Linked DNA regions of Coturnix japonica. The protein of the gene in region 3 purifies or fractionates together with the protein of the main gene of each other region. This does not show direct contact. Links are inferred from orthologs where the notes say so. Each region holds a gene or a part of one and is shown on either strand. Other genes may lie near its edges.

Region 1 (10,025 bases), on a different chromosome or scaffold from region 3:
TGCTTTCTTCTGCAGTGGTGGATCTGCTTTGTGAAGAGACAGTTCATGAACAAGAGCCTGTCTGGACCTGGGCAGTGAACAGACAAAGCAGCACCATGAAGCATTTCCACAGCCAGGTGTATGAAATATTCTGCCTTTGTTTTGGATATATTTTGTACCAAGAAAAAGAAGCGTATATGAAGAAAAAAGTCAACGAGGGGAAGAGGGGCGTAAAGTTAAAAGATCATTTGAGTACTGTAAGCAAGTAATATTAAGCTGGTGCTTAATAAATGATTCCTATAATGCTGTTCCAGATGCAGGCTGCTTTATTATCAGTGGCTACAGTTAGCATTTACAGCGGGGAGTTTAAAGAGAAGCGTTTGTGCCTGGAGTGGTGTTAATTGCTCTGCTGGATGGAGTCTCAATGTTGTGGTGAATGCAGTGATTTTTTTTACCTCTTTTTTCCCCCCTCCCCAATAAACTTAGCTTGTAATTAACATGATAATGGCTTTGTCTTATGGTTAGCCATCGTGATATCGGCAAATGCTGTTTGTTCTGAGGAGCTGCTGGTCTGAGCTCATTTCATCTCCTTTGTGGCAATACCTTCACCATCACCACACAGCACTAACGTGCCTTTTGTGGTACTTAATGAAAGAAGGAACACTGAGGTGTCTGTTCCACCTCACTACTCTCCTATGAGAGTTACTGTGTGCTTCAGTTCACAGCAGCACCACTGAGGTGTTTCACCTGTGGGCAGCCCATGTTTTGAGGCCTCCCTCTCCTCAGTTTCCTTATAGGCACAAGCTTTGCCACCTCACATCACTGCTGCAGCCATCACACATTGAAATCTGAGGAGAAAAGCATCCAGGCTCGAGAGCTGCGCAGACACAAGGTCTAAATCTTAAATTAAAATAAAGAAATAAAGATGCTATGACGGGACACGCCCTGCAGCATCATCTCCCTGTTACCACAGACATCACGTAGCCCCGCCTCAACAGCACTGCGGCGGCGCGGGCGCCTGTGGGCAGCGTTACGAGGCCCCGCCTTGGCGCCATTTTGGAGTGGCGGCGAGCTGAGCCGGGCCGCGATCCGTTCCGTTCTGTGTTCTTCCTTCTGTCCTGTCCTTCCTCCGCCATGAGTGTGGTGGAACACGTACGGGAAATGGCCTCCGCCGGGCTCCACTCCAACGTGCGGCTCCTCAGCGGGCTTCTCCTAACCATGAGCGGCAACAACCCGTGAGTGGCCCTTCTGACGGGACCGGGAAGGAATACAGGCCCCTGCCTTCAGGCCCCTTCCTTCCCGACGGGCTTGGTGCGCTGCCGTTGCTCAGGCCCTGAAGGGATGAAGCTGTGTTCTCTCAACCCACCTCAGCCCAGCAGCAGCGGGCCGTGGCCCTGCATGGGCTCCCCCAGTGGAGATACAACAATTTCTTCCCTTACCAACGGTGCCCCGTGTACATCACAACGCTTCCCTCACTCTCGCGGTTCCGGTTGTTTTTCAGAGCTTTCCTGAATCGTTTTGGGTGGTTTTATGAGGTAGTAGAGCCACAATCCCATTCTGAAATCCTTACATTTCAGCACAGCTCCTCACAGTGCTGCTATCCATGTAGTAAAGCAGCAGTAACAGCTCAAAGTTGAAGCTGGATGAACATCTTGTAGTCTGTCCTTGTTTCTCAGGCTATTAGGCAATCTCAGCCTGTCTGTATCTTTCCTAGGGAGCTGTTTTCACCATCTCAGAAGTACCAACTCCTCGTGTACCACGCAGACTCTCTTTTCCACGACAAAGAATATAGAAATGCCGTGAGCAAGTATACGATGGCTTTGCAGCAGAAGAAAGCATTGAGTAAAACCTCCAAAGTGAGGCCTTCTACTGGGAACGCTGCATCAACTCCTCAGAGCCAGGTATTTAAACACTAACTGATGTGCTGCATGTAACTATTGTGCATCCCCCTCTGCTTCAGAGCATGTTGGAGTTTCAATATTGTGTTAGACCACAGACTGCTTGTATGTTTGAAGTGTAATTCATGGTTTTGGAAGAGATGAGCAATGTAAGCTATCAGTAAGCTACATTTTTACCTTTCTTGCACTGGGTATTTTTAATCTATGCTAAGCATTAAACGAGACCATATTAATGTAACAACTATGATGTTGTTGCAATGCTATAATGCTATAACGTAATGGAAAGCACAGCAATAGCAGGGTGGCATAATTCTAGGCCGCAGCAAATGAAAACAAGCCCTGATACAGTAGCTGTGAATACAGAAACAAAGGAAGAAAATCTGCTTACCTTTAGAAGGTCTCTAGTATGCAGGCTGCTAGTGTAATACTTCCACCTTCACTGCCAACCCTTAAATAAGGGCTAGGAAGAGCTGGGTCCTTGCTCCACCCCTTCCAGTTACTCAGATACATTGTCTGCACCTGAGCTTCCCTGGGTTGGTCCTTCCCACCAGCTGCTCCATCACTGTTTCAGTCTGTGACATAACATTTCCACTACAGTTGGCCTTCAATAGTTGTATTTCATTTCAGTGTTTACCGTCTGAAATTGAAGTAAAATATAAAATGGCTGAATGTTACACCATGCTGAAGCAAGATAAAGATGCTATTGCCATTCTGGATGGGATTCCTTCCAGACAGAGGACCCCAAAGGTTTGTTCTGGCAGATGTTTGTCATCGGTGCTTGCTCAGAAGGTAGAAAAAAAGGTTGAGGAAAGCAAACTTAATCTATATACACTAGAATGTAGCAGGACTCAGCTAGTTGGACTGCACAGAGCTTAAATTGTTTCTGTTCTTTTATCACTGATTACAATTTAAAAGCTAAAAAGAAACATTTCATGCCTTCCTTCTCTTGAGAGCTTCCATTGATAGAAGAAATGAACTGAAAGAAGATTAGTGCAGTGGATGTACAGGTTCTTCTTGTCATACTTAAAACACTTGTCCATTTTTGGATGTCACAATGCTGGGGTTTCCAGTTGTACTATGTAAATAAAAAGATGTACATTTTACATTTGGACTCAAGAGTCAATATTAATTTTATAATACATACATAGTAGGTTATAGTGATCTCTACTCAGAACGGAAGGGAGGGACGGCATGCTGGAGGGAGGGCAAAGTTGTGACCTTTTCTTAGTGAGGACTCCTTTCTAATACTTGCAGATCAATATGATGCTGGCAAATCTATACAAGAAAGCAGGTCAAGAACGCTCCTCTGTTACAAGCTACAAGGAAGTACTGAGGCAGTGCCCGTTAGCACTTGATGCCATACTAGGTAGGTTTCTCCACGCTGTTAAGTACATCAATCCTAAGAAGCATTATAATTTGAAGCATGGTTGGGACTAGGTAATTGACTGCCATCTCTAGGTAATATCTGATGCAGATGTATTTAATGCAAACTATAAATTCGTGACAAATTGTTTGTGCTTCCTTGTCTTCAGATAATTTGTAGCAACGGTGATTGAAATTGTTCTGTATGATTTTGAATACCTCTGTGAACAGGTTTGCTGTCGCTGTCAGTGAAGGGTGCAGAAGTGGCCTCTATGACAATAAATATCATTCAGAGCATTCCAAACTTGGACTGGCTTTCAGTGTGGATCAAGGCATATGCGTTTGTGCATACTGGAGATAACACTAGAGCCATCAATACAATTTGGTAAGATTTGGAAGAGTGTGATGTAATCAAATGCCATAAAATATTTCTTCAATGACATTTTATAATATCATTACACATTAACAACAGCAATTTGTTTCTCTTAAAGCTCTTTAGAGAAAAAGTCACTGCTGAGGGATAATGTAGATCTACTGGGGAGCTTAGCAGACCTGTATTTCAGAGCTGGAGATAATAAAAACTCTATTCTAAAATTTGAACAAGCTCAAATGCTGGATCCTTACCTAATAAAAGGTGAGTAAATCATAGTGGAAAATTTACCTAGTATAATGTTCTGCTAAATTAAGTTAGAGTAGCAAGCAAATATTGTCTCTCAAACTTTTCACTGTAGGAATGGATGTGTATGGCTATTTGTTGGCACGGGAAGGTCGACTGGAGGATGTAGAAAACTTAGGCTGCCGTCTCTTCAATATTTCAGATCAACACGCAGAACCCTGGGTAGTGTCTGGGTAAGATGCTCTCTTTCCTTTCTTACCCTTGATTTGCTGAGTGTAGTCCATTACAGCTGATAGAGTGAGATCAGCTTTTTTGTCCTGTTTTGGAAGTAACTTGAACTAGTCAGGAGTACCTATTTTGGTTGGTTTCTTTAAGACTAAACTGGTTTGAATGACTAAACCTTTGCAATAGCAATGATGTGTTAAATAGCTGTGATGGTTAATGGTGTTCTCTTGTTTGTTTGTTTTCCAGAGGTGTTTGGGGAGGTGTTTGTTTGTTTGTTTTTACACAAACTTTTATTTTTAACTTAAAATGTAGAAGGTTCAGCAGTTACTTGTAACCTGTTCCTTCCCTCTTTTAAGTCTCTGTGAGTGTACACAGGCAGTACATGTTTACAATCCATCTTGTCTTTCCATAGGTGTCATAGTTTTTATAGTAAACGATACTCCCGTGCCTTATATTTAGGAGCCAAAGCTATCCAGCTTAATAGCAACAGTGTTCAAGCTCTGTTGCTGAAGGGAGCTGCCCTCAGGAATATGGGCCGAGTACAGGAAGCAATCATACACTTCCGTGAAGCGATACGTCTTGCACCTTGCAGGTTGGATTGCTATGAGGGTGAGTGAAACAAAGCTCCTCAGACTGCATTGGTGCAGTGTTAACGGCTCTTATTGAGAAAGAATAGACAAGCTCTTTTCCCCTGTTGACTTTCTAACATGTAAAGTTATTTTTACCCAAAAAACTATAGTGCTGGTAGAAGTAGTCAGACAGGAGATACTAGAGAATGCATGTGTTTATAAGAAGCATTTTCAAATTGTTTGTTTTTAAGTGGTTTAATCTGAGTGTAAACAGACCCGGGTGTTTTGAGCAGATCAGTTTTGGATGATGACATTCAGTGTATGGTTAGTCATACCAGGAGCCTCATTTTGACATACTGTCTCCTAAGCATGAGCAGAGTTTGATGGTAAATAGTTAAGGAGAAATACTTGGGGGGAGTATGCATTTTTTTGTGGAGTTAAAAGTTCTCTTAGCAGAATAAAACCCTCAATATTAAATAAAAATGGACAATAGTGCTTCCAACATACTGTATATTGGCAGTCTTAGGAATTGCTTGTAGAATATTTCAACTGCTGGCAACAGGTATCATCTGGATATACCAAATGAAACTGAAACGCTTTTCTTTCTTATTATCAGGTCTCATTGAATGTTACCTGGCATCTAACAGTATCCGGGAAGCTATGGTTATGGCAAATAACGTGTATAAAACTCTGGGAGCAAATGCACAGACGCTCACTCTGTTAGCAACAGTCTGCCTTGAAGACCCAGTCACACAGGAGAAAGCAAAAACATTACTGGACAAAGCACTGACACAAAGACCTGATTACATTAAAGCTGTGGTAAAGAAAGCAGAACTTCTTAGTAAGTTTCTTTTTTCATGTCAGCTTTCTTAAAACTTACTCTTTCATATACAGGAGCGTTCTGTGGCCTCATCAGTGCAAATAACATGACAGGGATGTTGCACCACAGGGATCTGTCAGTTCTGTTTGGAAGGAAAAAGCATGGGAATTAATTATACCTAGCAACTGACGTTATGGCAGCACTTAAAGCCACTGTATACAAAATGTTTTGCATTCAAAGTATATGATGTGTTAATGTGTGTAGCAGTTATTGCTTACAAAAAGCGTATTGCTGCCATCCTTCATGCCAACAGCTCCAAGAGAAGAAATGCTTTTGTGTTGTGGTAGCCCTTGGAGTACAGTCTGCTTACACAGTTATCTAAACTATTAATTAAAACTGTAGTTTTGCAAATAAACAGGTAGAGAGCAGAAGTATGAAGATGGAATTGCTTTGCTGAGGAATGCACTGGCTAATCAGAGTGACTGTGTTCTGCATCGAATACTGGGAGACTTCCTTGTAGCTGTCAATGAGTACCAGGAAGCAATGGACCAGTACAGTATTGCCCTAAGGTAAGCATGAGGGCTGAGACTGTATCGTACACATAGAATTGAATAACCAACCAAGTAAAAAATTGAGTGCCAGGGCACTGGTTGATTAGGGCATGCATCAAGGGTAGCTTCACATCATTCTTCCTCAAAGCAGACAAACGTATACATCGCATTCTGATAATGAATTAGTTGGTCACAGGGCTTTGTGCCAAGGAGTGCAAAATATAGGGATTGTATTAACTGCAGACACATTGCTGGACATGGAGTTCCTTGGCTACTGAAGTGATTGAGGCATGGATGTATTTATAACTAATAATTATACAGGCAGGATTCTTGGGAGCTGTTCCATTAGAGCAGGAGATGATATATAAACAGGAGCTACTGTGTAAATTTAAATAGGTAATAAAGAACCATGATGTTACCTTCTGAAGTTAAATGTTTCTATATTTGTGACATTACCATAAAGATAAGAAAAATAAGTCTTAAGGCAATACTTACTTTTCTTCTCTTTCCCCTCAGCTTGGATCCAAATGATCAGAAGTCACTAGAAGGAATGCAGAAAATGGAAAAAGAGGAAAGTCCAACAGATGCAACCCAGGAAGAAGATGTGGATGATATGGAGGGAAGTGGAGAAGAGGGGGACTTGGAAGGCAGTGACAGTGAGGCAGCCCAGTGGGCAGATCAAGAGCAGTGGTTTGGCATGCAGTGATGGCTGCTCTCCCCAGTGCTTGATTTGGCACATGAGAACATCAGTAGGGCCATTCCTTTCTGAACTCTGATCTTTGCAGGAACTGAAGACTCTTTTTTATCTTTTTTTTTTTTTTTTTTTTTAATTTAATAGAACTATTAAATGGTTTCAGTCTATGCATCTCAGTGCCATGAAGATTCTTGATGCTTCTTATTTATTAAGCATAAGAGATTAACTGCAGTTAATCAAACCAAAAGCATTAGAATCTAAGGTTTCTGTAAGCCTGCTGTTTATGATGAAAGCTGTCGTGTTGAGGGCTAAGTGTGCTTTATCAATTTGTAAATAGTATTTTGGTATATGCCTTTGTAAAAAAGGTCTTCTTCCCTTGTTTGTAAGCAGCGATTTGGGCTCACACTCCTGATGAAGTCTGGAGGAGTCACTTGGCTGTGGCTGAAAGCAGCACTTCTTACTCGCTGTGTTGGTTTAATTACTGTCTTTTTACAAGGCATTGCATGTGGTGTAAAGAAGTTTGGCACCCCAGGCAGCTTTGAGCTAGAGGACACTTTTGTAGCTGATTGATTTCTATGTGTACAGAGTCAAACCAGCCCTTATTAAACCTTATAATCTGTCTGTACATAAACATTTTTAAATGCAGTTGAGTTTTACTTCAGTGTGTTACTAAAGGCTTTTACAGCAGTGACTCAAAGCACTTCATGTTCTGCATACAGGAGGTATAAGAATTCATCCTATTCCACTTGCTTCTCTGCAAAAACGTACAAATATATATCAGCTTGTTTTTGTCATATATATACTTTTTGTCAGATAGTATTTGAATTCACGTTATCATTTCAACACCATCTCTTTGAGGGTGATCTTTGTTTCAGTTCTGTGGGCTCAGTGTGTAGGAGGAGGAATTACTTTGTGCTGTTACATTTCTTACCATTCTGTTTTCCTTACTATTTCCTTAAACATCTCTTTACATTGCCAGTTTAATCTCTTTCACATTTATCCTGTACCCGCAGTTATGCTGGAGCAGATGGACCTTAATGCAGGGCTAAAAAGCAGTTCAGCATAGCAGCTAACAGAGGAATACCTACTTGTACAAATACCTGACACAGAGAACAGGCGTCCCCTAGCTGTAGAAGTACAGCACCAATAAGGGTAAAAGCTCTTCTGTGATGTGCTATATGAATTACAAGAACACACAGCAGATCAATCCTCTTACAGACCGTTATTGAAGTACCTCGCTATGTCACATTCTTAGAAAGGAAACTAGTATTTTAGCACTTAAAAACAAGCAGAAGAGCTGAGTATCTCTTCTCTCTGGAATCCTGAGGGCTTTAAACTTTCCAAAGTATTAAATGGAGTTCTGCTTGGTTGAAGATTCTGTGGGAGGAACAGAAAAGCCCATGCTGCTGTCTTGGTGGTTGAACTGGCATAAGTTGTGACTGCTCTGTAATTAAATAAACACACTGAACAGCTTCATTTCAGTTACAGTGCACATTCTGCTAATTGCATTCTGGTTTATGAGGGAGCAGAACCTATTTTAAAATGAAGAACTTAACTATTTACAGCCTTGCTCTGTGATGCAGTGAACAGCTTTCAGCTCATTGCCTATTTCTTTGTAATAGAAAGAAATACAGATTTACAGACAAATTGAAACCAGCTCTTTTTTCCCCCCTCAGGATACAATCTGATGAAAGCTCGAGCCTATGTCCAACAGATAGGTAGGGTCAGCAGCTTCCTAGGTGATGCTTCAACCATTCCTACTGGATTGAAGAATGGACTTCTTAATATTAAGAACTAATATGTGACGAGAGAAATGAATGAGGTACGTGGTACATAGTTTATGAGCTGTTCAGCCATTTTGTTTTACTATTCCTTTAAATCCATCACAAGCTGCAGGTGAAAACCACTGGTCTCGAGCATTTCTCTGAAACAATGTTTGCGTAGAACAGGAAACCTGAGAACCACAGCTTTACTGAATCACCACATAGAGTCTGTTGATTGTCTGATAAAGTGAAGCTGAGAGTGCTGTTCAAAAACAAAACCACAAAATGTCGCTGTGCTTATGTGTAACCAAGTTCAGGTACACCTAAGAACACCTTAAGAGAGCTGTCAAAATGCAGTTGTATCCCTTAGTGTTGTGTTCTTGCTGCTTAGTTTTTCTCAGAACTTTGCTAAATGTTTCAGTCAACACATAGACCAGTACTGTCATGTGATGGAAAGCAAAGGGATAATAGAAGGGTGGCCCAACCCCAGGCTGCAGCAAGTGAAAACAAGCCCAAAGGCAGCAACTGTGGACACAGACAAAAACTTCTTACCTCAAAGGGACCTCCAGTAGGCAGAGATGTCCAGAAAGGTACCCTCACCTCCACTGCCAACCCTTAAATGAGGGCTGGGAAGGGCTGGATCCTGGCTCCACCTCTTCCACTCACTCAGGTACATTGCATGCAGCTGAGCACCCCTGGGTTGGCCCTGGTTCTCCCAGGTGTTCCATCACTGCTTCAAGCTGTGACTTAGCATTTCTGCTACAAGTACCTACAGAAATATTTGCATTATGGTTATGTAGCTTGTTACAGTATTTACAATTAAAGACAGTGCAAGGGACTGAGGAACTTCAATGTGATATGTGCTGAATGCATTTGATATTATATACATAGATGTACTTTGCACCAGCTTCAGAAATCCAAAGGGATTCTTGTATGCCAATGAGCCTTCATTAATGCTTTAATTTTAGAATATCATCTCTGGATTTGCATAGATTTTGTGCTCTTCAATTCATTTACTGGTTTTCTAGTTTAGGGACCAGAACAATTAGTCCCTAATAAGCAGTTGACCTCATTCTGCCCATCAGTTGTAGTGCACTAAAGCTAAAAGCAGATGTTCACATCTGTTCCATCTGTGATGTAAACTCCCAGAAGTGAAGCACTTCTTAGGTGACACCAAAAAGCAATTGACATCCAGTTGTATTCTGCAGCTCATGCTGTTCTGGGTTGTGTAAGGAGAAAGGAACTGTGTGCTTGAAATCCTGACAGCCGTGTTTGACTTTGAAATCACAGATGTCATTAGCAGGCCTTGAATTCTGTCCTGCTTCATGAACAGAAAGATACAGAAGTGAGGTCAGTGGACAGTTTGTACAAACATAAGGCCCTTATATAGACTTGGATGGGCTAAAAGTCTTAATTTACTAGAATCTAAAAGCATTGATGTGGCTACCAAACATCTACCCTTTTCAGGAGCTCAGTGATGCAGAAATTGATCCGTCCAAGACAAAGGCGAGGAATATTTTTTACTCAGCAAACCCTGCCTTAAAATCT
Region 2 (10,938 bases), on a different chromosome or scaffold from region 3:
CACAATGCTTTGTGCAATGTACAATATACTGCCTCAGAGACTGAATTATATCATGATGTTATTTGTCTTATCTTTCAGTAAAGTGACTGTGCTTCATAGAAGCTGCTGCCCATCCATTGTGAATGCTTTATATCAAGGGAAAAGTGATCTTGCATTAACCACGAGGAGCCCACACCTCATAAAGCCAGGAGATGCAGGGTGAGTTTGGGGACAATGCTTGCACATCTCAGTACTCATCTTTGTGTTCCCACTGAGGAGTGACATCCAGCATTGCTGTGCTACAGACAAATCCATCTGGGAGTTTTCATGTACGAAAATCAATCAGAAGAACTAGAAAGGGTGAGTTTGGAACCTCAATTCCCAGCAAACACAGTGTGTGCTGCACAAAGGACTGGGACAGGAGGAAGCAGCTCAGCCCCTCTCCCTTCCACTTGAAGTTCTTCATGTACATCCCTTTATCCTGAGCAAGAAAACCCCCAACCCACATTTAGGGCTCCCAGGATCCCTCCATGGAATTGCCTTGCACCAACAGGTCTTTGAGCCCTGGGTGCTTCACAAGCCTGAGCCCAATCCACCTGCCTTCAAACCCTCAGCCATGCAGGGAAATGTCAGATATCACCAGCAGGAAGAGTCAGACCCCTCCGTGCTCTCCTTATTGAGGATGTTTCCCATAGCAAGGCTCAGCTGCTGGCAGCGAGGGGAACACAGCAGGGCAGGGTTTGCAGCTCTCCCACCATTGCGAGAGGTGAAGGAGCAAGCAGACACAGCATTGTGCACCCAGAAACCCCCCCTTCCTCTCTCTGGAGCTGCAGGTAAAGAGCTGTGTGAAAACTTACAAGCTACAATGGAGCTTTCTTCTCTGATGAAGAAGACCCGCAGACTTCAACAGCAGGATTAGGTGCCTGAGACTGAGCACACACCAGGAGCACAGGACATAGAAGTGGTTGAACACTCACTGGTCAAAGGCTCAACGCTGCTGACACAGGAACAGAAAGCTCAAAGAAATGAAGGTCAACCAGACCCTCTGCAGTGCCTCCAAGCAGAAGCACTGAGCAGCCTCAGCCATCAGCACAGAGATGTTTCTCCAGCTCCTCTGGCACTGCAGTCACCCTCCTGCACCCCATTCCCCACCTGCCCTGCTGGGGGGAGCAGCCCCAATGCTTTGCTACTCAGATCTATGCTGTGACTAACACACACAGCTCACGGGGCACACAGCATCGCCATCAAACTCCATGCAGCCACGTGCTGAGCCCTGCTTGGCCAACAGCTCACTGTAGAAGCGAGGACTGATCCCAGACGAGCCCCTTGCTGGCTTCCTATGAACAGGAGCCACAGGAACCTGGGAGAAGTTCAGCCATAACCTCCTAAACTTACAGGCTTCTTTATTCCCAAGGCCCACACAACAACCCACAGTTACTTTATACACACGCACTAAGAGCCTCCAGTGTTGTGTCAGCCAATGGAGCTCAGATACCACAGCAGGTTTGTCTAATATCAGCGTGAAAGGACAGAGAAATGATTTCTGCTTCACCCACAGCAAAAGAACTTCTCTACATTCAGGAAACCAAACCCACCAGAGCCGCCCAACGGGGGCACACAGAGCTGCGGGTATCAGCAACACACAGCAGGATGGAGGCAGGAGGAGCCAAGCGGTGTAAACCCAACGAGGAGCCGGCGGTGTGAGCAGGTGATGTGAGTGAGCAGGTGGTGATGTGAGGATGCAGGTGATGTGAGGATGCAGGGCACGAGGAAGCGGCACGGATCGGCCTTTTCCTGGCCCCACAGCCCCGGGTGCTGCCCCAACACGGAGGTGACACCGGGAATCACCCACGCGCTGCCAGCGCCGCCCACACGGGCCGGACCCAGCCCGGCACCTCCGGCTCCGAATCACGGCGCTCCATAAGGAGCCGGGATGGGGATGGCGGCCGTGTCGAGCCCCGACGGGAAGCGGCCCGGAGCCCGGACGGCACAGCCGGCATTGGGGGCAGCCGGCATTGGGGCACACGGCGTTGGGGCAGGTTCCGCTGTCGGCCCTGAGCGTCCCCCCGACCCCGCGCGGATTGAGCCGTACCTGGCAGCCCATGTCGGCGGGGCCCATGGTCCGGGCGGTCACCGCTCTTCAAGTTACCGACGAAGCGCGGCCGGGAGGAGCCGGGAGATGATCCGGGAGCTGCGGGGAGAAGCGGCCGCGCTCAGCGGAAGGGACCGTTGGCCCCGCACCGACCCCGCAGCCCAGGCCCGTCCCGAGGGCGCAGCGGGGCCCGAGCTGTTGCGATGCGATGCGATGCGATGCGGGGGGACCGTCGCAGCCCCGGGCCTCCTTCACGCCCCGCCGTCCATCCGTCCGCCCCCCCCAGGCCCGGGATGTGCCCTCGCTCCCCGTGGCCGCAATTCAGGCCCTGTCGGACGGACCCCCCGCCCCGCACCGACCCCCCCCGCAGCGCTGAGCCCACCCCGCGCCCTACGGCCCCTCCTGTCCCGCCCCCCCCCCCCGTTCCACGTTCTCCCTCCCAGCCGCGGCCCGCAACACGCAGCCCAAGTTGCGGGACGAGGCGGGACGAGGCGGGACGAGGCCGGACCCCCCGCGCACCCCCCGTGTCCCGCATCACCTCCGACCCCGACCCCCCCCCATCCCGACCCGGCCGTCCCGCACCGGCAGCGCCTCGCCCGCACCTACCTGCGCCGCTCAACCAGCCTTGAAGTGGGGACCTTCCGCCCTCCCCCGTCCCCATTGGCCGACAGCGGGGCATGCGCCCGTCCCATTGGTCCGCGCCGCGTCAATCAGCGCCGAGGGGGCGGGGCCGGGCGGTGATTGATGCGGGGCCGCCACTCGCCCCCCGCTGCGGGGCCGGGACCCCCGAGGGCGCCCCCGCCCGGAGCCCAACACGCAGCACCCGCCCCGCACCGCAACCCGCCCCGCGACACGGGACAACGCGAACCTCGGCCCGGGGGGTCCCGGCCTTCACACAACGAGGGGCGGCCCGGAGCCGGGCGGGGGGCGCGGGGCAGCGCGGGGCAGCGGGTGCGGGGGGTCGCGGTGGTGCCGCCCTGTGCGGGGCGCGGTGCGGAGGGAGCAGCGGCACCGGGCTGTGTGCGCCGAGTGTCCCGCAGGGCTGCGGCCGGCCCCGGTGTGCGGTGACAGCTGGGCCCCGCACCGGGATGACGCCGGGTCCCGCATGGCCGGGAGCTCCAGCCCCGCGTCCCGCACGCAGCGCCGCGTCCCGCAGCCGGAGCCAGGCCCGTGTCCCAGCGCGGGGTGCACCAGGCCTGTGAATGAAGCTGGTGGCACAGCCGGGTCCTATGGGTGACACCCAGCCCTTATAGGGCACAGGGGGCACCGCAAACAGCCCACGGGTGGCACCAAACCCACGGCCCGCAGCTGACAGCAGCACACACAGCACAGGGGACACTGCGCCCACATCCCACCAGTGACCACGGGGCTGTAACCCCACTGGGGCCACAAAGCCTGTGTCCTATAGGTGACAGCAGGCCCAAAGCACACTAAGTCCTCATATAACAGGGACATAAAGCCCAGCAACCCCCTGGTGACACCACAGCCATCCCCCATAGGGATACACTACGCCAGTGTGTGTACACACTACGCTGTGGTGTAAGTGACACCACAATCATATCCTATAGGAGACACTGTGCCCATCTTGCAGGAAATACACCATGCCCAAATCCTATCCACATCCCATAGGTGACATCAGGTACATTTCCCATATGTAACTATGGGACACCCCCAGGATGCAGCAGAAATGGAGGATGAGCTCAGAGTGGGGCTGAGGACAGAGCACGGCAATGGCTGTGACAATAAGCACGGGATGAAGGGCAGCTCCAACCTGCACAGCCCTATGGGCAGCCAGCATCACGCTGCTCCTCCTCCCAAGGGCTCTCACAGCCTCCATGCTCAGTGAGTTAAAGCCAAGCTCAGCCTCACAATGTGGGCTGGAGAATGAAGCTGGATGTTGGTGGGTATTCCCAGAGCAGCCAGCCCTGCAAGCAGAGCAGGACACATTAAAGCTCACCTGCTTCCAACCCTGCACCACACATTGGTTGCCCACTCCCAGCTCAGGGTGCCCAGAGCCCATCCATGGCTGTGGGCACCTTCATTTCTGCTGTAGGCAACATCAGGGACTGATGGATTCCATAAACCAGGGGAGACTTTGAGCTGATACAACAGCTGAAGGTGGTCAGAAAGGAACATACAGCTCCAGGAACTGAGCTGTGGTTAAAGAGGGGCCATTTCTGAGCCCTCCCCTATTTGCACCATGAGGGTGTTTGAAATCAAACCCCTAATACTGATGGAGGGGCAGGAAGCAGAGAGCAGCATTAAGTGCCCACCGAGGCAGCATGAAGAGCACAAAGCTGTCTGTGCCCATAAAGCACCAAGAGGATTCCTGAGCTGGGAGCCCTGCGATGCTGCCCAGCCCTAACACAGTGCATGGCACTGCAGGGTGGGGGGGGGATTGCAGCACACGTTGCTTTTCCCTTTACTTCACTGCTGGGAAACGTGCAGCCCCAGCAGCACAAGGTACAGAGGAAGCATCAGGAGCAGAAGAGTGAAGGGCAGGGCTGAGAAATACAGAAATGAAAGGGAGGAGGGCTCAAATTCAATGCAACCCCAACAGCCAAAGGCAGAAAGGAGACAGATGGGGCTGCTGTAACAAACTGAGTGCCAACAGCTTTAAGGATAACAGAACTGAGACCCTTCCTGCAGCACCCAGCACTCACAGCTGCCCTTATTGAGGAGTATTGAGGTGCTGGGAGGGCTCACACAGCCCACAACAGAAAACCTGCAGCCCCAGCTCAGGACACAGCAGCTCATAGGGGCAGAAAGCTGCTAAATCTGCTTCCAACTTCAGGTTCTTCTATAAAAGCCCATTTTAAAGGTATGATGTACACATAAACATGGGGACAGATGCAAGTATTGAATCTTCAGTGAGTATCCAGCACCCCAGCTGAGTTCATGACTGTTGTGTAACTGTTCTCAATGGCCACAGGAGGGAAGGAGCCCCCTGGCTTCCTAAGCCTCAGGTCAAAACAAGCAGCAATTCCTGGGGGAAGTCAGAGCAGCAGCAGAGGATGGAAAGGAGATGAACCAAGCAAGGTGCTGCTCTGGGAGCTGGAAGCACTCGGTGTTCCTTCCCATACACAGGGAAAGACTCACCTGCTGCAGCTGAGGAGCTCCTGGGGATGAAGCTCATTATTTCTGCTTAGAAAATGGGTTGGGAACCAAAAGACTCCATCCATTGTGGCAGGGCAGATGCAGGCACTGCCTCCATCAGTGGAGGGGGGGGTGTTTATTCTTCACCTTTCAGGACCTTCACAATGCTGGGGATGCTCAGCTCACTTTCCTCTGCTTGTCCAAGAACACAAAGGCTGCACTTTGGGTTATTTCTCATGCAATAAATGTGTCCCTATGACTCACAACAGCAAGGAGCTGTGATGGAGCACAGTGCAATGCTATGGTTTAATGCACAGAGAGAAACCCTTCACAAGACAGCAACAAAAAGATCAAGGCTGACACCAACAAGTTATGTTGCTATGAAATTTATATCATTCCCAATTTATTATGCATAAATCGCTCTTTAAAACTGCTTTTATCATACACTTTCTTTATCATCACTGCATAAAGGGCACCAATTGTTGCTGCAAAACACTACAGAGAAAGGTCGTTTTGGACTCAGTGTGGCACAGCTTTCTTCACACAGAAACAGCCTCAGGGAGGAGGGAAGGGGTCTATAATCCTATAGAGAGAAAGCGATTCCGAGGACCTCAAAGAACAGCTTAAAACAAACCCAAAACCACAGAGAACTGCACATCTCTGCACTCCGCTTGGACCACACGTTACAAAACTGGTTTAAAAAGGATCCGATCTGAGGCAATTGTTACCTGATGCATTCGACTGTAAGGTTCTGATTTTGCATTAAGGCTTCTGGTCTTCCCCATGGATTGGTTCAGCAGCAGGCAGTCACTGCAGGGAAAGGGCTCGGTGGATCCACGTTAAGTCGTATCTGCATTTCTCTCTCTTGGTTTTGCCCCTTTATTAATGTTTATTTTCACACCGGGAAGAACAACTCAAGGGGGTGTATGAAAAAACAAATGGAGCAATGCACCGCTGACTTGTTTAACGTACAAAGTAAAGACATCTTAGAAACTAGGTGAATAAATTAAGTCTCTGTTAAGGACATGAAAGTTCTCCGTGAAAGCTGTGATTCTGCACTGTGATTCTCTTGCTACGTCCCCATCCCTGCAGGTTTGCACTCTAAGAGGGACACAGGGTGCTGTTACATGGTCTGACAGCCCCAGCCCTGAGCACACACGCTCTGTTTGTTCACTGGAGATGCTGCAGCTTTAAGGTCATTTACATTCCCTGGCATTTAAGTTACACTACAATATGCAAAAGTCTTTAACAGCATTTGTCAACACTGTCCTCAAAGAACTCGGAAATGAAGTTCAGCACTCTGCTCACCAAGAAAGAACCAAACTAAGACACACTTCTGGGAAAGGAACAAGACACCGCTTCATTAGTACTGCCCCCACATCTACTGGCTTCGTTACAGCAACCCGCACGTCTCTTCCATGATATTTTTTCCAGCAAAGGGGAGTCCAAAATAAACCAAAAACCCAGCATTTCCTCCTTATAAGAGCCAACAAGTCAACCTCAGCAGCAGCCAAATATTGCACTGCCATTAATTCTGTGCACAGTCTGAGCGGTGAACTCATGGTGTCAGTGGAGAATTCATGACAATGCTGGCTCAGTGATGTGAAGACCCAGGACGCAAAGGAAAGGGAGAACACAACAGTACCAGTCACACACTCAAGCCCACATGTTGGCTTTTTGGAGGTTAAAATTCATCGCTTTCAACTGCATGGAGCTGTGTGTCATCTGCATCCGTCATGCTGCTCTCTTGGGATTCGTCTGTGCCAACTTGGAAAAAGAAACAGAACACAAAATTGGTCAAAACTTGACTACAGTTCCTGCACAGCCAACTGCAGCACAGCAGCAACATGTTGGTACCTCATCAATGTGAAACTGAGCTCCTGCCTTCATCCCCCTCCCTCAAAAGGCTTAAGGAGCCATAAGGTCTTTTCATTGCAATAAGGTGACCCCCCGCTAGCTTAATACAGTTGAAATAAATGCATTTAGAAAGGAATTGGGATCACAAAATACAAAAACCTGCAGTCTCCTTCACTTAACAGATGCTCGCTCCTGTTACCCACCACATCAATGCACTGTGATTGTGATCACTTATGATCCAAACGTACACCTTTTATTTCAGTTATATTTATAGGACAGATTAAGTCACGGGGCTTCCCCCAACCTCCCACCCTCTGCTCCATCATTTGACTGCCACTGAAGTTCCAGTACTCTGTCTCCATCTTCTGGTGACTCAGCCCACAAAGTGCACCAGCCTTACATGCAGATTATATGCAGGTAATCCAACCTCAACAGCAAGAGGAAAGCCTGGCACATCAGGAAGTGCAGTGCAGCTCCCCATATTGAAAGCACAGTGGGACAAGACCACTAGGAATTACTATGATATACACCCTAACAGCTTTTCCAGGTGAAGATTTAGGGATGCAGAACACGCATATGCAAAATACAAACCTGATTCATAGGGATAACATTCACTGATTTGCTCTTCTTGAGTTATTGGTTCCTCGTCATCTGGAAGGTAACGTTTATCGATAGCCTCTTTAATTTGGTTGTTGGCTCCTTTGGGATCTAAGTCCATCGCCCAGGAGAAATTCATTAGGGCCAAATGGGTTTGCCCCAGCTTTTTATAAACCTAAAATAAAAGCATGAAATGCTACGTTTACAAGGTGCTGTGTGAAAGGTTGGACAACAAACACAATAAGTCACAGTTAACTAACACATATGAGAAGCAGTAGAGTAGATTCAAACATTTATTACACAAGTCCAGAGGGAAACAGCAAAAGCATGTAGAAAAAGTGCATGAGTGTTTCTGCCTAAGTGCCCAAATTTAAATGAAGTGATCAAATGAAATTAGCAGCCAACAGATTCAAGAACATAAGGAAGTGGTTCTTCAGATGTAATTTAAGCCTCGGAACTCCTACAGCCTCATTAAGATTTCCCACTTCCCAAACTGATACAGAAGGATATCGCCTTCTGTAACCCACTTGCAAAGGCCATCAGCTGAAACAGACACGGAGGAGTAAAAGCACCCCACAGACACTTACTCAGCACTTCTGATGCAATATTAATACATTTATACATTTGAGCATGGTTCAACACTTTCACATCTCCAGGCCCAAATAACCAACACAGATGACTGATAGTCAGCCTAGCCCTGAAAGCTGTTCTAACTACTGCAACCTCTTTGCAGTTAAAGATCTCAATAAAGATCCATTTCTTGCTTTCTAAAATGAATTCCTCTGAGACAACAGATGTAAAAGAAGACAACAGGAGCTTGGGTTATCTTTTCTTGGGTGGTTATAAAAATAGCTTGAGGTTGCTCCAGTCTTTTAAGGCTGAAAGCTGTTACGTTGGAGAGCTGTGAGATTATATGCAGCAAGTCTTATTGAAGGCTCTGTGAATTTTACAATGCTGCCCCAAATGTAAACAGCTTGGCAACAGGCTTCAAGTTTCCTCATTAAGCAGACGTTTCTGCAATGAAGGAAAACAAAGTGCTTACAAACACAGTGAAATTTCACCTACCTTTCCTATTAAGAAGTAAACAAGAGACTCTTTGGGAACAATCTGCTTCAGTTCTTCAAGTTCTTGCAAAGCAGACTGAAAAGGAAGAAAAAAAATAAGCACAAGCTGGCAACCAGCAGCCAGTTATTGCATTGCTGAACTGCAACTCAGAGCTGATGCAAACCTCGCAACTGACATACAGCACACTCCACCACAAACAACAGTACGGCCTCATCAGAAGCACCTCAAGTTTCTTTTACATTAGTTTCTCCTTTAATGGCTATAGAATGTTATGGCCCAATTATTACAAGCACAGAATAAATACGCTGGGCTTTGGTCTCCTATAATAACATCTAATTTTTTTTCTCCTGCTCACAGGTATCCTCTGCTTTTGACTTTTAATCTCCTGCTCAGTGAAGGTGGCACTTCTTGAAACAAATGCTTTATTAGCTGCTCTGCCTCAGGCTCTTCCTACTCATGCTTCAAGCCTTAATGCTTATCACTGCATCCCCATCCGCTGCTGTAGCAAGTAACAGATAATCTAAGGTTGTCTACGTGCATCAAATCTTACCTTGTATTTCTCATTTGCAAACAGTACAGAAGCTCTATGGAATTTGCATAGTGGGTTCTTGGGGTCGATGTTAATTGCTTTGTTTAGAGTATCCAAAGCCTTTTCAGATTTTTTCAGTGCGTGTTGGACCTGTAACAGAACAGGAATAAAATCTCAAAAGGGGAAAAGAATAAAGTAAATTTGACTGGTGCTGCTACGTTTACTTACAACCTGTTCCTACTGAGTCTTAAAGAAACCAAGCTTTCTCACAGGTAAGCCTATGCTATCAGGTTGAGTCAGTAAGCCATTTCAACACTGGCTAAAAGCAACTGGGGGGAGGGAGAAAAGAGGATTTATTTTCTGACACAATCCCACGGTTATTCATTCATGCAATAAGATCCTCTAATAGATCCTCTGAACTTTGTTTTGTTTGTTTTTGCACTTCAAGTTCAGGAAGGTTGCAGGTAAAGGGCAGAGGCAAATCAGAACATAACAAGGAGAGAGCTGAGCGCAATCTACTTACTACTCCAATGTGACACAGTAAGACTGAGCTCTGAGGATTGATATCAAGTGCTTTCTGGAAATGCATTTCTGCTAAACTGAATTTCTCCTGTTTGTAATAAATCATTCCCAACCCATACCTGCAAAAAGGAAAAACAGTTCCATTAATAAGAGTGCATCTTAAATAAACTAATTGTCATCAGCAAATATGGACTGGTAGAAGTGGCACATATTTAGAAATGACTCAATGACAGAAAAGTCTCACAAAATTCACAGCAGCGTTTGCAGCTTATTCCTCCCAAAGGTGCTCCATATCACATACAGCAGAAGGGGGATGAAGCAAGACTTACCATGCATTGTAGTGCCTGGAGTTGACTCTGATTGCATTCCTAAAACAAGCTAATGCCTTGTCTAGCTCTTCTGTTAACACAAATTCATGCCCCAAAAGGGTGTAGGCGTAAGCATAGTTTGGATCAACTTGAATGGCTCTCTGGAAGAACTTGATTGCAATGTCATGCTCTCGTTGCAAGCTGAAGCAGTTCCCTGCAGCACACCATGCCTAATAAAAAACAGCATTCTAAGTTAGAAGTGTCATTTCACAACCTGCAGAATGACCAAGTCTGAGCTAAACAGATCTTCTGTCACTGATCTATGCAATTATGTCACTTGCTACTAGATTATAAACAACAGTTTTAACAGTACTGACCAGTTGCTTCACTAAGTCCTCCTTCCTCTAGTACAAAATAGAATGACCTGAATAGGTTCATCTCCAGCAGAAAATCCCAACAGACTCCACAGCTTCCCCCACTCTGTCAAGAGCAGATTTATATCCCCTCCACACACATACATACTTATTATTGGGGCACATGTCAGCTTGCTTGCATGTCATGTGCATGTTATAATACCAGCTCAACGGACTTCAGCATAAAAATATTTTCAAGCAGCGTTGTACAAGTTGTGCAGGAAATATGAGTGCCAGTGAATTACAGCAGTTAGAAGATAATATGAGAAAAAACATCCCTTATCTTTACATGTGGGCATCAGCAGGGACAATTGATCAACCCATGATCTTCCTGGATTAACAATGTCAATACAGATTCAAATCACCATTAATAGATTAAAGGTTCACAACGTGTCCCATATAAGCTGATATTCTAACGCCAAGCAGCCATTTCAGGCATCATCAGCTCAACAGGCAAATCCTGCCACCTCCCTCTCCAGT
Region 3 (10,926 bases):
CACACGTTTGAGGCCTATATCCAAGAGCTGTGAATGCAGCAGCTCAGAAAGGTTGTATTTTCCTTGTGCACTGATTACAGGTTGGGCAGTATTCATAGGTTCCATGCAAGGCATTAGCACACAGAAAGATGCAGAGACCCAGTGTCACTTTAAGCTGACTTTGGACATCCAGATAGTGGATGTTTTTAAGCACTTCCTATATGCCCTTTACATTAATAACTGTATCACAGTGTGCACGTTCCACTTACCAACATCTCATCCATAAATTTCTTCAGAATCTCAGCAACTTTCTTGCTGTTTCTGGAAGCATTGCTATAGATGATAGTAGTTGCCCCCCGGTTCCAGTCCACAATGATGATGTTCATGTCCTCTACAGAAAGCAGGAGATGCACCAAGTCAGGGATCCAGACCGGGGCAGAGCCTGTGGGCCGGAATCCATGGATAATGAAGGTGGTTTTCTTGGTCAGATCCAGATACTTGGAGGCTGTTGAATTGAGCTCTTCGGCGCAGTCTTCATTCTGTCTGGTGTACAGCATCAGCTTCACTTCCAGGTCGGTCCCTATCAAGGCGCTGCCGAAGCTGAGCACGGTGAAAGCAGGACATGTCTCCTTGGGATCTGAAACGAGCACAGCGTGGCATTATTCAGGTTAGCAGCCAAGCATTTCTCTTGGCCTTTTCTACCTGCCAGCCCTGCCCAGGCACAGAACGTGTGCTGGGAACTGCCTGAGCTGCTCCTTTCCATGCCATCATGTCAGTGGAGCTGCTCTGTATCTTAGTTTCTCTTGCTATGTTGGAACAAAGGCAGTGAGCCCTGTATCCTGTATACCTTTCACTAGCAGCTGGGAGGTGGCATGGGCTCCCAAGGAACCCCAGAAGGGTGAGGAAGGTATTACAGAATGGAAGCAAGGGTGATGGCTGTGTAGGTTGGGCAGCACACCCAGATGCTCTGGACAAGCTGTAGGGTGAAGAGATCTCTCTGTATTTATTCTGGAGCTGGCAAGCTGTGCGGGATCTTGCTGTTGTGAGGGACAGCTCTGGGCTTTGCTTGTATTTGCAGATCCAGCCTGCTATTTCAGACTGTGAAATGGGACACCCTTTGTCTGAATGCGATACGGCACCGATCGCGCTTTGTACACAGCTGGAGAGTTCCCGAATGTTCAGTAAGTGCTGCTTTTCACCACAATCTCTGCCATTCGAAAGCCTGTCTTTGTTCTCTGCTTTTCCAGCAGACCACCAGCTGAGCCTTCACAGCCCCATGCAAGCTCCAGCAGGGCTCTGCTAAAGGAATAACAGTCTCCATGCAGGCTGCTTACCCAGGCCCTCCCAGGTTCTGCAGCCTTTCTCTGGCCCACAATCTCCTTGTTTTTATTGAAGAACCTTGTGGGAGAAAGCATCTCTCTCGCACGCGCACCCTGGGCTGCATTAATTATTCCCCTGCAGTTGCTAGAGGATTTTTGCTGCTCAAAAGGGCTGTGTTGGAGGTGGAAGAGGTTTGGGATACCTGCAGCTATAAGGCAGCAGTGCTCTAGCAGGTGTCCAGCACTCCGTGCATTTTAATTTCTAAATGATGGATTTCTCACAGTTCCCACAATAAACTTTCATGCTTTTTTCCTCCTATGGAAACCAGAAGCATGAAAGTAATATAAATGCTGCTCACCCAGCACATAAAATAATCCGCTCAGTTGCCATAGTTCTGCTAATTACTTTGCAGAAGCCCCAGGAGCTCCAGAAATAAAAGTTAATAGGCTAAGAGGATGTTGCAGTTAACTCCAACTGGATGTATTAAATTACTACTATAAATTCCGAAATAAATTTTAACGTTTGAGACCCACAGAGTCCTTCCTGTGGAAAGCCCATGGTGAGATACGAAGAGTGGAATGGGAGCAGTGGGGAATGAACTCTCAGGCAGGGCCAGAGAACATCAGTTGAAGTCATTGGCTTTGAGCAGAGGGTTCTCTGCCTCCTAAAGCTCCCATCTACCAGGAGCACACCACTCTGGGCCCTGCTGACCTTTAGTGCCTCACTCTTGGTCCCTTTGCTCTCCATAGGGCAACAGTATTAAGAGTTCTCTTCCATCTGGAGATCTCAGAGTAACCAGCAGAGGAGAGCTATGGTTTTATGCTGGTACACAGCAGCTATCAGTGACTCTCCTCCATGTGCTACTGCAGTGTAAGAGAAAAAAACACCCCACATTGCTCTTTGTTTAATAACTCGATGTGTTTTAGTTCCCGTATAGCATTGTTGCGCAGTATTGTTATTCATCTGTACTGCCACGGAGGCTATAGAAATGCAGGCAGAAATGCTGGACCTGAATTATTTCGACATGGTGCAAGGCTGCTCTGGTTGCTTAATTAGTCTCTTATCTCTGCGCCGTGCTGTGACTTGCCCTGGGGAGCACTTGGTTGGCACCAGAGCAACCCAAACCTTCTGCCAAAGAAGGGCTATTAAAGAGCTGCTCAGGATTTGCTAATCCCTGAGTTTAAAAAGCATTGTTATATCTGCACCAAGTCTGTTCAATTTGTTCTCTTTTCATTAACGAGATCAGATGAGTGCTGATAGAGGGGCAAAGCCTGCCAGCTTCTCCCTGCTGCATGGCTGTGTGTCACAGGAGCTGACACATGAGGGCAGCTGGGGATCCTGCATTCATTCCTCCTCCTGATAAGCACAGGATGGCAAATCTGCTTTGGTGTTCCTATGTTGGAGCTGGACATCTTCTGCCTTGAGCATGAGATGAGATCAACCTCTCAGATGTACCTGAGAGGGGCATCTTCAGCACAGCTGGCTTATGGAGACCAGGAGCAGGGGGGAGTGCTGCAGCCATGAGAATGGTGCTGGGCAGACCCTGCAGCAGTCACTGCAGTCAGTGCCACGTAAGGCTTGCATCCTCCTGGGCTCTCTCATTAATTCCTTGGAAATGGTGTTTGGAGACTCTCCCTTCCTTTTGTCTCGGGTGTTCATCCTATGGACAGGAAGGTCCTCATCTTTCTGCACAGAAAGAACGGCATCTCTATTTTGGCCTCTTGCAAAGTGAAGGTCCAAAAGGTTTCCTCCTCATCATCGCCTCATCTGTCAGATCTATGGCTGCCCTGGTGAGCCTTGAGAGACCACATTGCTCACAGAGCCCACCAAAGGGCTGCTCACTGCCCAGCAGCTTCTGCAGACCTCCAACCAATGGGCTCCCATGGCAGTCTGCAGCATCCCTGACTTCCAAAGCACCATGACCTTGTCTGGGATGTGCCATTTGTTTCAAGAGAACCTTATGCATCAGCACTAACGTGGTCATCATTGAGCACTGCCACACAGCAAATCTTACCAGCATTGCTGAGTTACTTCCATGTTTTCCACACGAAGGGTCTGCCCTCCACCTCTTAAAATGGCCTTCAGTACCTCCCACTTATTACTATGTTTCCTACAGTGTATTCATCACAATAAGCAAAAGGAGACCTCCAAGGCTGCCCCAGGGAACCTGATGAGATCTCAGCCTTTGTGAGAATCCTTTGCATTGTTCTAAACCCTGTTTGTTTCCCCCTGCAAAGAATAGAGCTGCAGCTTCACAAAGCAAGCGACGCGCTCCCATGAGTGCGCTAACAGAAGGCAGCACATTTGTTGCTTATTAAACAGGTTGATTCTTGATGGGGCCACGAGGATACCAAGTGAAGTTTAGCGTTCATAAATGCTAATTCATCCTTTGTGGCTGTCATGTAACGCGCCGCTGAAAAGAAATCAGTCTGCTCTCAAGATTTCAGATGACGTTTTTCAGTGTCGATGGATGCTGCTTATATAAGAGGAATGTTTGCAAAGTGAAGAAGAGATCATACAAATGACTTCTGGCTTCATGTCTTCTTTAGTTCATGAAACCAAGACAGTTTGCTTTAAGAGAGACAATGCTAGTTAAAAACCCTACACAGTAACCTTATAACGCAGAGGGCAGATAGGTTTATGCTTCTGCAAAGCAGAGTAAGCATTATATTGAACAAAAAAATCAAAGCAATTGACTTCCTACCTGTTTTCACCCCATACAAAAGGCAGAGGAACGTGACACACAGCCTCAGCATATGGGCTCCCACATGGAACTTGTAGAGGTAGAAAATCTTACGGATCCCGCGGTTTCTTTGGCACGTATTCGCTGCCTCTGACAACAGTTTGCTGTCTTTTTCTTCCAGTAATGTAGGTGTGGTGAAAGGAGGAAGTTCCCAGCCAAGAAATAAAGATGGGGCTGAAGTTATACAACCAGCTCTTCTTTCTCAAAAGGTGGGGCACCTTCTCTTGTAGCAGGATCCCTTGTTTTAAAGATTGTTTGCCCAGGGCTGTGACTAATCAAAGGCAGGAACGGTTCAGTATCACGCTGTAAGCAGCACTTTGACTACCTGTGTTGAAATTACTGCCTGCCTGTTCGTCTTCTGCTAAGAGTGTCAAAAGGGAGTGAAGGACGTAGGTGTGCAAAGCCGATCGGTATCTGGGCAGGGCCAGCACTCAGCTTCCCAGGACCCACATTGGTAGCATTGGGACACTCCCATCCGTGTTCCTCTGGTTCTCCCACGCTCTGTCTGTCTCCAGCAGGTGGAAGCCCAGCATCCCTTTTAACCTGTGAGGTCCTTCATGATTTGGATGGGCACCACTTTGTCCTGACAACGTTCCCAGTTCAACTCAATACGTGCTGCCAAGGAGCTGCTGTTTTGGACAGCACTCACACATCTGACATATCCCCACCATGTTTTCTTATAGCCCTGCTGGAACCTTGTGAATTCAGCTCCAATTCAAGCGAGAAAGGCTTTTTTTCCCCCCTTGCTAGACAGTAAGAAGTGGGCAGATGCACAGACAACCATCAGGGCTGGGAAAGGAAGCCTGAAATTGGAGCTGGAAAATCCTGTGGCAAAATTGGTGTGATGGGGATGGAGCCTGTGATGGAGTGAGAGAGGGGAAGGGAAGAGAGAACAGAGACGGCTGCTGGGTACACAAAGCCACCACGCAGCTTCTAGTGTTTTCTTTGCAGGGAGAGGGAACATGGGGAGGATCAGAAATACCTCATTAAGCCCAAGCTCTGTTTTGCCCCCTGCTGAGATACAGCGAGGAGCTGAACTATTACAGTTCCCAGCAGCGTAGCTGTTTCTAAGGTCTATACTGTACATATGAAGCTTGGGTTAATCCTGAGCAGCCTGCTGGCTGCATGCAGCTCCTTCTTGTTCAGATGAGCTCACTGCTGGCTCAGAGCAGGCACTGCTGACTCCTCAGGCAGGGGCTGCCCCAGCCACTCAAACCAAGCATCCTCCTACTCAGCGCCCATGTCCTCACAGAACATCCAACGTGCTCAGCCAATAGGGATTTTGAGTAACCATCATTTGAGCACAAATCGCACCATTTAAACAACGTGTAAATATACAGTGGTCAGCACTGGCAGCGAACTCTAACACAAAACACAGTTATACCTCTTGGGACATAAACCTCCACGGTCACAAACATCCCATCCCCAGTTTTGACATATAAGAACAACTCCAGATGGTGAAAAAACACATTTTTTATCATGTGTAGAAAACACTTAAGAACAGAATTGGCACCAAGTAAAGAATAAGTTAACAGAGAATTTGTCGTGAAATGCCCCCGGATTCATCAGTTTCCTGTGGGAGGGACGTTTTCATGGAGATACTGCAGAGATAAATCCGTCCACTTCATTTCTTGCTCTTTCACAGACTCAGTTGTGCCTCCATTGTCTTGCTCTGGTTCAGGGAGCTCATTCTGAGAACGACAAGAAGAAAAAAGGTACAATGCATTCAGTGCATAACAAGCTGCCTAAAAAGGAGCTGGTGACGAAGACTTCCTATGAATAAATACAAAAAAATCCACAAATGAGACTGGAGGGGGCATCTGAACAATACATATCATACATCCAGATTCAGTTAAAATATTACTGAGCCCAGGGAGGAACAATGTGCTTTTCATATGATTATGATGCTTCATCTGAAAGGTAAATTGGCTTTCCAGGGCCCCGGGGCCTTGCTATGTACTCAGACTGCACACGCAGTGAAGGAGAATATAGAGAAAATGCAAAATAAGTAAATAATAACACGGTGCAATTATTCCATTGCTTGTTTAGATTGTGGTTCTTTGTTGCTGCCCAGAATACAGATACTGCATTTACCGTAGCTCTATTAAGACAGCTGGCTTTGTAACATATCGCTTTCTTATGGCAAGGTGAGAAATCCTTCCTCTTGCTGCATGTGGAGCTCTGCTGTGGCTGTGCTGTAACAACAGGAGATACAACACCAAGCTGCTCAGCATGCAGGGGGGAGGAAGGAGAGTTTAAATGCGATTTCATTTGACTTCCTCGTGTTATTTGCTCCCCGTGTTGCTGCATTGGTTATTATTGGTTTTGGAGGAGGGCAGCTGCTTCCTGCCTCCTCTGCTGAGAAGGAGCTGCTCTTCTTCCAAGAGTGATGCCACACTGTGCTGTAAGGGCTGAATGATGTCACTGCAATTTGGCAATGTCTCTTTGCAGGCATTATCAGATGCCGTGATTTTGGCCGGCTTACACCTGTGCGAACAGGGAAGGGGAGGATCCTCACCCAGAGGGTGGTGACGCACTGAACATGTTGCCCAAGGAGGCAGTGGATGCCTCATCCCTGCAGGCATTCAAGGCCGGGCTGGATGTGGCTCTGTGCTCCACCTACCAGCGGGATGGCCACGTCCTCGTACGGCAGCTTGTCCTCCCTCCACGCGTCATCGATCAGGTCCAGGATGCGGCCGTCCCGCTGCACCTCGCTGTCCATCCTCACCCTCCGAGGTAGCTCCGTACCAGCCCCGTCCCGCGGGGACTCGAGCGGCCCCAACGCGCTCGGTTCTGCCGGCAGCGCTCCGCCCCATCCCGCAGCGATGTTCCGGCGCCCGCTGTACCGTCATCACCCGCCGCCGCCTCCGTTCCTTCCCCTCCCCGGCCGGCAGCGCCCTGCGGGTGGGCTCGGTGCGGTCGGTGCGGTCCGCTCACTGTGCGGTACCTTCTTGTTCCGTACAACCAACCATTTCTCTGCCCCGTCACTTCGTGTCTCTGCCCTTCCTGCTGCCCCTCTATTTCCCCCACCTTTCCCCTCCCGCTGCCCGTGGATGCGGTGGCCGCTGCTTTGCGTGGTTTCCCCCCTGCTGACCCCGCCGGCGCTGGGTGATGGAGGCTCTGCTGGCAGGCATGCAGAGGAATGGCCAGGGGAGGTATGTATGTACGTATGTATGTATGCACCGCTGTGTGCCCGGCCTTTACAACAGCCTCACCGCGGGGCTTCCCTCTTAACGCTCCTTGCCACTCTTCTGCCAAGCTCCCATGGTGTCAATGAGACCCTCGGTACCTTCTGCAGGCGGATGGATGCAGCGCACAGCGACGTGGCTGCTTCGGCACTTTGCAGCGGTCCCTCAGCGCCTTGCAGTCTGTATTTTGCCTCTCTAAGAACGTTATCCCTTTGTTTTCCCCTTTAAAAAGCCCCCTCCTGCCTTGCAGTGCGGTGCTAAGTAGAAGAGTGAGTAAATCCTTTTCTTAAGAGCCCGGTGAGGTTAATGAGACATGCTGAGAGCACCTGATTACTTCCTGCTTGTGCTGGAGCTGCAGACACCCTGAGGAACCCTTAGGTGAAGGCTTGTGGGCTTGGAGATGGAATAACAAGGCTTCATTTATCAAACAAACACAAAACTAAAGGCACTGACACCATTTCCATTGCCGTCTTTGAGGAGGTGACTCAGTGCTGTATCTTTTGCAGTTAACTGGTTGTATAAATGCAGTCTAGACATAGCTGTGTATCAGCAGATGCTGAGCAGGAGGTGTTCTTGCTGTGCATAATAGCTGCTAATTTTTGGGTAACTCGCAGGCCGGGGTGAACATCCAATTTAACTGCTTTTGGCTGCTCTGAGAGCTACTTCTTTCCCTATAGAAGATCTGTCAGCTTGTGAAGGCTGGGTATGTATGCTCTGGGGGAGCAGGGAAATTTCAATCCCTTCACCTATTGATTTCCGTTCCTTTTCAGAGCCTTCCATTTGACAGTCAAATTAAATGGGTGAAGATGATCATGGAGTTCACAGCCCTCCAGGGCTGTATCTTGCAAGCCTTCATACCGTCCTTAGCTTAGCACTTGTGAAGTTTTACAGGGCTTGGTTGAATTGGCTTCAATAATTACTGCACAAATTAGAAGCTGCGGCATCGCCAGGGAGCGTGCTTTCCCCAATGGGTTGGGGATGTTTTATTCTTCATTATCATGTTGTCATCCAACCAACGTAGGGGTTTGTCTGCATTTGTGATATGCTTTTGTTTTCGGGAGCTGAGAGGTTTCTCTGGTGACTGAAAGGGGGTATAAAAGAGCATTAAGGGGAAATGCAAAGTATGGGCAGAATAAGTTGTGGTTTATTTAGGTAATGCGTAGTACCAAGATAAAGGGACCAGTGGTCATAGGGGCTTGCTGTGACATTAGAAAACAAAACACACTGCATGTGCTCTGACTGGGGTTTCCAAAGCATGCCCCATTAGTCACTGCCAAGTTTAGGTCTCTGCCCAGCGATGTTCCGCACCAATCACTGGTGTCACTGGTGTCACTACTGTGGGGATGTGGGACCTCTGTGCTCCTCTTTGTGACCTGAAGCTCTGTCCCTTCCAGCAGTGGGTTCCTGACATCCTGCGAAGCTGAGCTGCAGGAGCTGATGAAGCAGATCGACATCATGGTGGCTCACAAGAAGGCAGAATGGGAAGGACAGACCCAGGCTCTGGAAGCTTGTTTGGGTGTTCGAGAGCAGGAACTTTCCTCTGCCAGGGCTGCACTGGAGGAAAAGCATAAAGAGGTACGTAAAGGCTGAATGTGGATCTGCGTTTCTGTTTGTTTCATCAGATTTCAGTTGAGTTTTTTCTGCTGTTTCGTAGAATCACAGAATGGCCTGGGTTGCAAAGGCCCACGATGCTCATCCAGTTCCAACCCCTCTGCTATGAGCAGGGTCGCCAATCCTGTTTATTGGCCCACTGTGTTCTGGACCTGCAGTTAGGAAGGTGATTGTGGATGGGAAAAGGGAAAAGAGTCAGGGGAGAAAGGAAGAGGAATGGGAAGATCTGGATCAAGAGAAGGGAAACCTTTCCCAAGAGTTTCAAAGCACTGCTTCTTTCTTTGTCCATGTGTTATTTGACATCTCTGCTTCATCCCACTGGGGTAAGAGGATGGCACTGCCATCTCTTCCCTTAATAGATAGTTTGAAATCATAATGGATACTTATAATGAACATGAAAATGACATTGTCACAAGGCAAAAGTGTCAGCTTCATCTCAGCCAGCGGAAGGCAGACACAGCTTGAAAACACGAGGCCAAATCTGAGACTGTTCTCATCCCATCCAACCAGAGATGTGGACATAAGCTTAATTTGTTTCAAAAGGACTGACCCCAGCTTAGAAAACTGGGATCTCTTAACATTCCTTTGCCACTTCCACTACTGTGTATACTTATGAAATGAAGACTAATCCCTCTGTTTGCTGACAGTGTGCTCTGTCTCAGTTCATCTGCTTTGTAATTCTTGGTTCAGGTTGGCAAGTTGCGGCAGCAGCTGGAAGACACTGAAGCAGCCAAACAGGACTTGGTTAGGGAATATGAGCAGCAGCTGAAGAAGTTTCAAGAGGAGGTGAGTTTCAAAAGGAGAAGGTCGGTTTTTAATTCCCTGTTGATATGTGACCAGGTAGGTGAAATGTTTGGCATCATTGCCATTGCTTAAGTGCCATGGTTTTAAAGCTTCCCATTCTCTTCTCTTACAGAAGAGAGCACTGAGCTCAGAGTGATGTTTTTGTGCTTTGCTGGCCCTCTTTTGGGCACATCAGGGGAACGTGGTGACAAAGAAATCTGCAGGAATAAGAACATGTTCTAAGCTGCAATTTCCATGAGTTAAACATCTGCAGAGTTTTAGTGCAAAATCTTCCTGTATTTGCCAATCATAGTCACCACAGCCCTCATATGGAAGTTGCTATGGGTACAGGCAGCAGCAGTTTGCTCCTTCAGCACTTCCTTAAATTAAAATGGGTGGTGGTGGAACCGGCCTTGATTGTATGGAGAAACTGAGATCAGATCAGTACGCAGCCTCATCATCATTTTGCTTCCACTGAGTCTGATTTTATTTGACGGGACCTGTGTTCTCTCAAACCATATCAGTTTGCAAGAAGTGATTTCAGAGCTTCCATCTCGACAAGCTCCTTGTTCAATGCAGGGTGGTACACACACAGTGTCCTGCAGGTGGAACAGCAGCATTCCATGTTGGTGCCTTTGTTCTGCCTGTCTCCACTTGCTTGTCAGAAGCATTGAGTTAAGTGGCATGAGCAGCCAGCAGAGCACTGACCTTTTCTCCCCGGAGAGTTCAGCTTGGTTGATGCTCACTGTGAGCCATAACTTAAATTAATTTGGTAGCCTCAGCTTTGGTGACAGAAGGCATCTGTCCTCATTTACAACACCTTACTGCTCAGTGTGATTAGCAGGAGATGTTCCAGCTGAAATAGTGGATAGGCTGCAGAGCAAGGCTAAGGTGCTTTGGCCAGATCAGGCTATATTGCAATGGCTAGAATATAGTGTGTGTCTTGTGGTTAAAACTGCACTGCACTGGTGTTTTACCCATGTAGATGGCATTAAGCTGCAGTGTTCCTTAGTCTGTTTTAGTACTGTTTGGGTAGATAGATTTTATCTCAGTTTACCACCATCACCAGTAAAATTACAGGTACAGTGTCCACCTCATGGAGGTTGCTGAAAGGATAAACCAGTGCTTGGAATCTGCTGACTCATTTGGCAAAACACATTCTCAATGAATGTGCTTAAGCACCTTCCTGACTCAGGACCCTGGAGAACCTTTCCTGACCACTGTGTGGATCCGAATCATGGGGTCTTGATTCAGATATAAGTTCTCCATGGGTTCCCAAATCGGGAATGATGTCTTCTGAGG

Evidence for each region.
Region 1: the proteins of ANAPC13 (region 3) and ANAPC7 purify together in Homo sapiens (affinity purification with mass spectrometry; 3 studies listed by BioGRID and IntAct, counting the BioPlex papers as one, with this or other methods). This does not show direct contact. The link is inferred for Coturnix japonica from reciprocal best matches to the Homo sapiens genes ANAPC13 and ANAPC7.
Region 2: the proteins of ANAPC13 (region 3) and CDC27 purify together in Homo sapiens (affinity purification with mass spectrometry; 5 studies listed by BioGRID and IntAct, counting the BioPlex papers as one, with this or other methods). This does not show direct contact. The link is inferred for Coturnix japonica from reciprocal best matches to the Homo sapiens genes ANAPC13 and CDC27.

What each region holds. Positions count from the first base shown.
Region 1 is NC_029530.1:4,517,801-4,527,825, forward strand, and holds ANAPC7 (anaphase-promoting complex subunit 7), read left to right. Parts: upstream 1-993; 5' UTR 994-1,113; coding exon 1,114-1,214; intron 1,215-1,693; coding exon 1,694-1,880; intron 1,881-2,504; coding exon 2,505-2,624; intron 2,625-3,131; coding exon 3,132-3,243; intron 3,244-3,470; coding exon 3,471-3,624; intron 3,625-3,730; coding exon 3,731-3,873; intron 3,874-3,970; coding exon 3,971-4,088; intron 4,089-4,492; coding exon 4,493-4,689; intron 4,690-5,265; coding exon 5,266-5,490; intron 5,491-5,887; coding exon 5,888-6,038; intron 6,039-6,536; coding exon 6,537-6,726; 3' UTR 6,727-8,195; downstream 8,196-10,025. Other genes in the region: ARPC3 (actin-related protein 2/3 complex subunit 3), read left to right, coding at 16-78. UniProt on the Homo sapiens protein: Component of the anaphase promoting complex/cyclosome (APC/C), a cell cycle-regulated E3 ubiquitin ligase that controls progression through mitosis and the G1 phase of the cell cycle.
Region 2 is NC_029542.1:2,303,491-2,314,428, reverse strand, and holds the end of CDC27 (cell division cycle protein 27 homolog), read right to left. Parts: intron 10,276-10,938; coding exon 10,067-10,275; intron 9,857-10,066; coding exon 9,739-9,856; intron 9,366-9,738; coding exon 9,237-9,365; intron 8,762-9,236; coding exon 8,687-8,761; intron 7,797-8,686; coding exon 7,616-7,796; intron 6,935-7,615; coding exon 6,852-6,934; 3' UTR 5,538-6,851; downstream 1-5,537. UniProt on the Homo sapiens protein: Component of the anaphase promoting complex/cyclosome (APC/C), a cell cycle-regulated E3 ubiquitin ligase that controls progression through mitosis and the G1 phase of the cell cycle.
Region 3 is NC_029524.1:2,637,995-2,648,920, forward strand, and holds ANAPC13 (anaphase-promoting complex subunit 13), read right to left. Parts: upstream 6,876-10,926; 5' UTR 6,765-6,875; coding exon 6,666-6,764; intron 5,734-6,665; coding exon 5,608-5,733; 3' UTR 5,496-5,607; downstream 1-5,495. Other genes in the region: LIPH (lipase member H), read right to left, coding at 249-616, 4,004-4,055; CEP63 (centrosomal protein of 63 kDa), read left to right, coding at 7,154-7,197, 8,625-8,805, 9,532-9,627. UniProt on the Homo sapiens protein: Component of the anaphase promoting complex/cyclosome (APC/C), a cell cycle-regulated E3 ubiquitin ligase that controls progression through mitosis and the G1 phase of the cell cycle.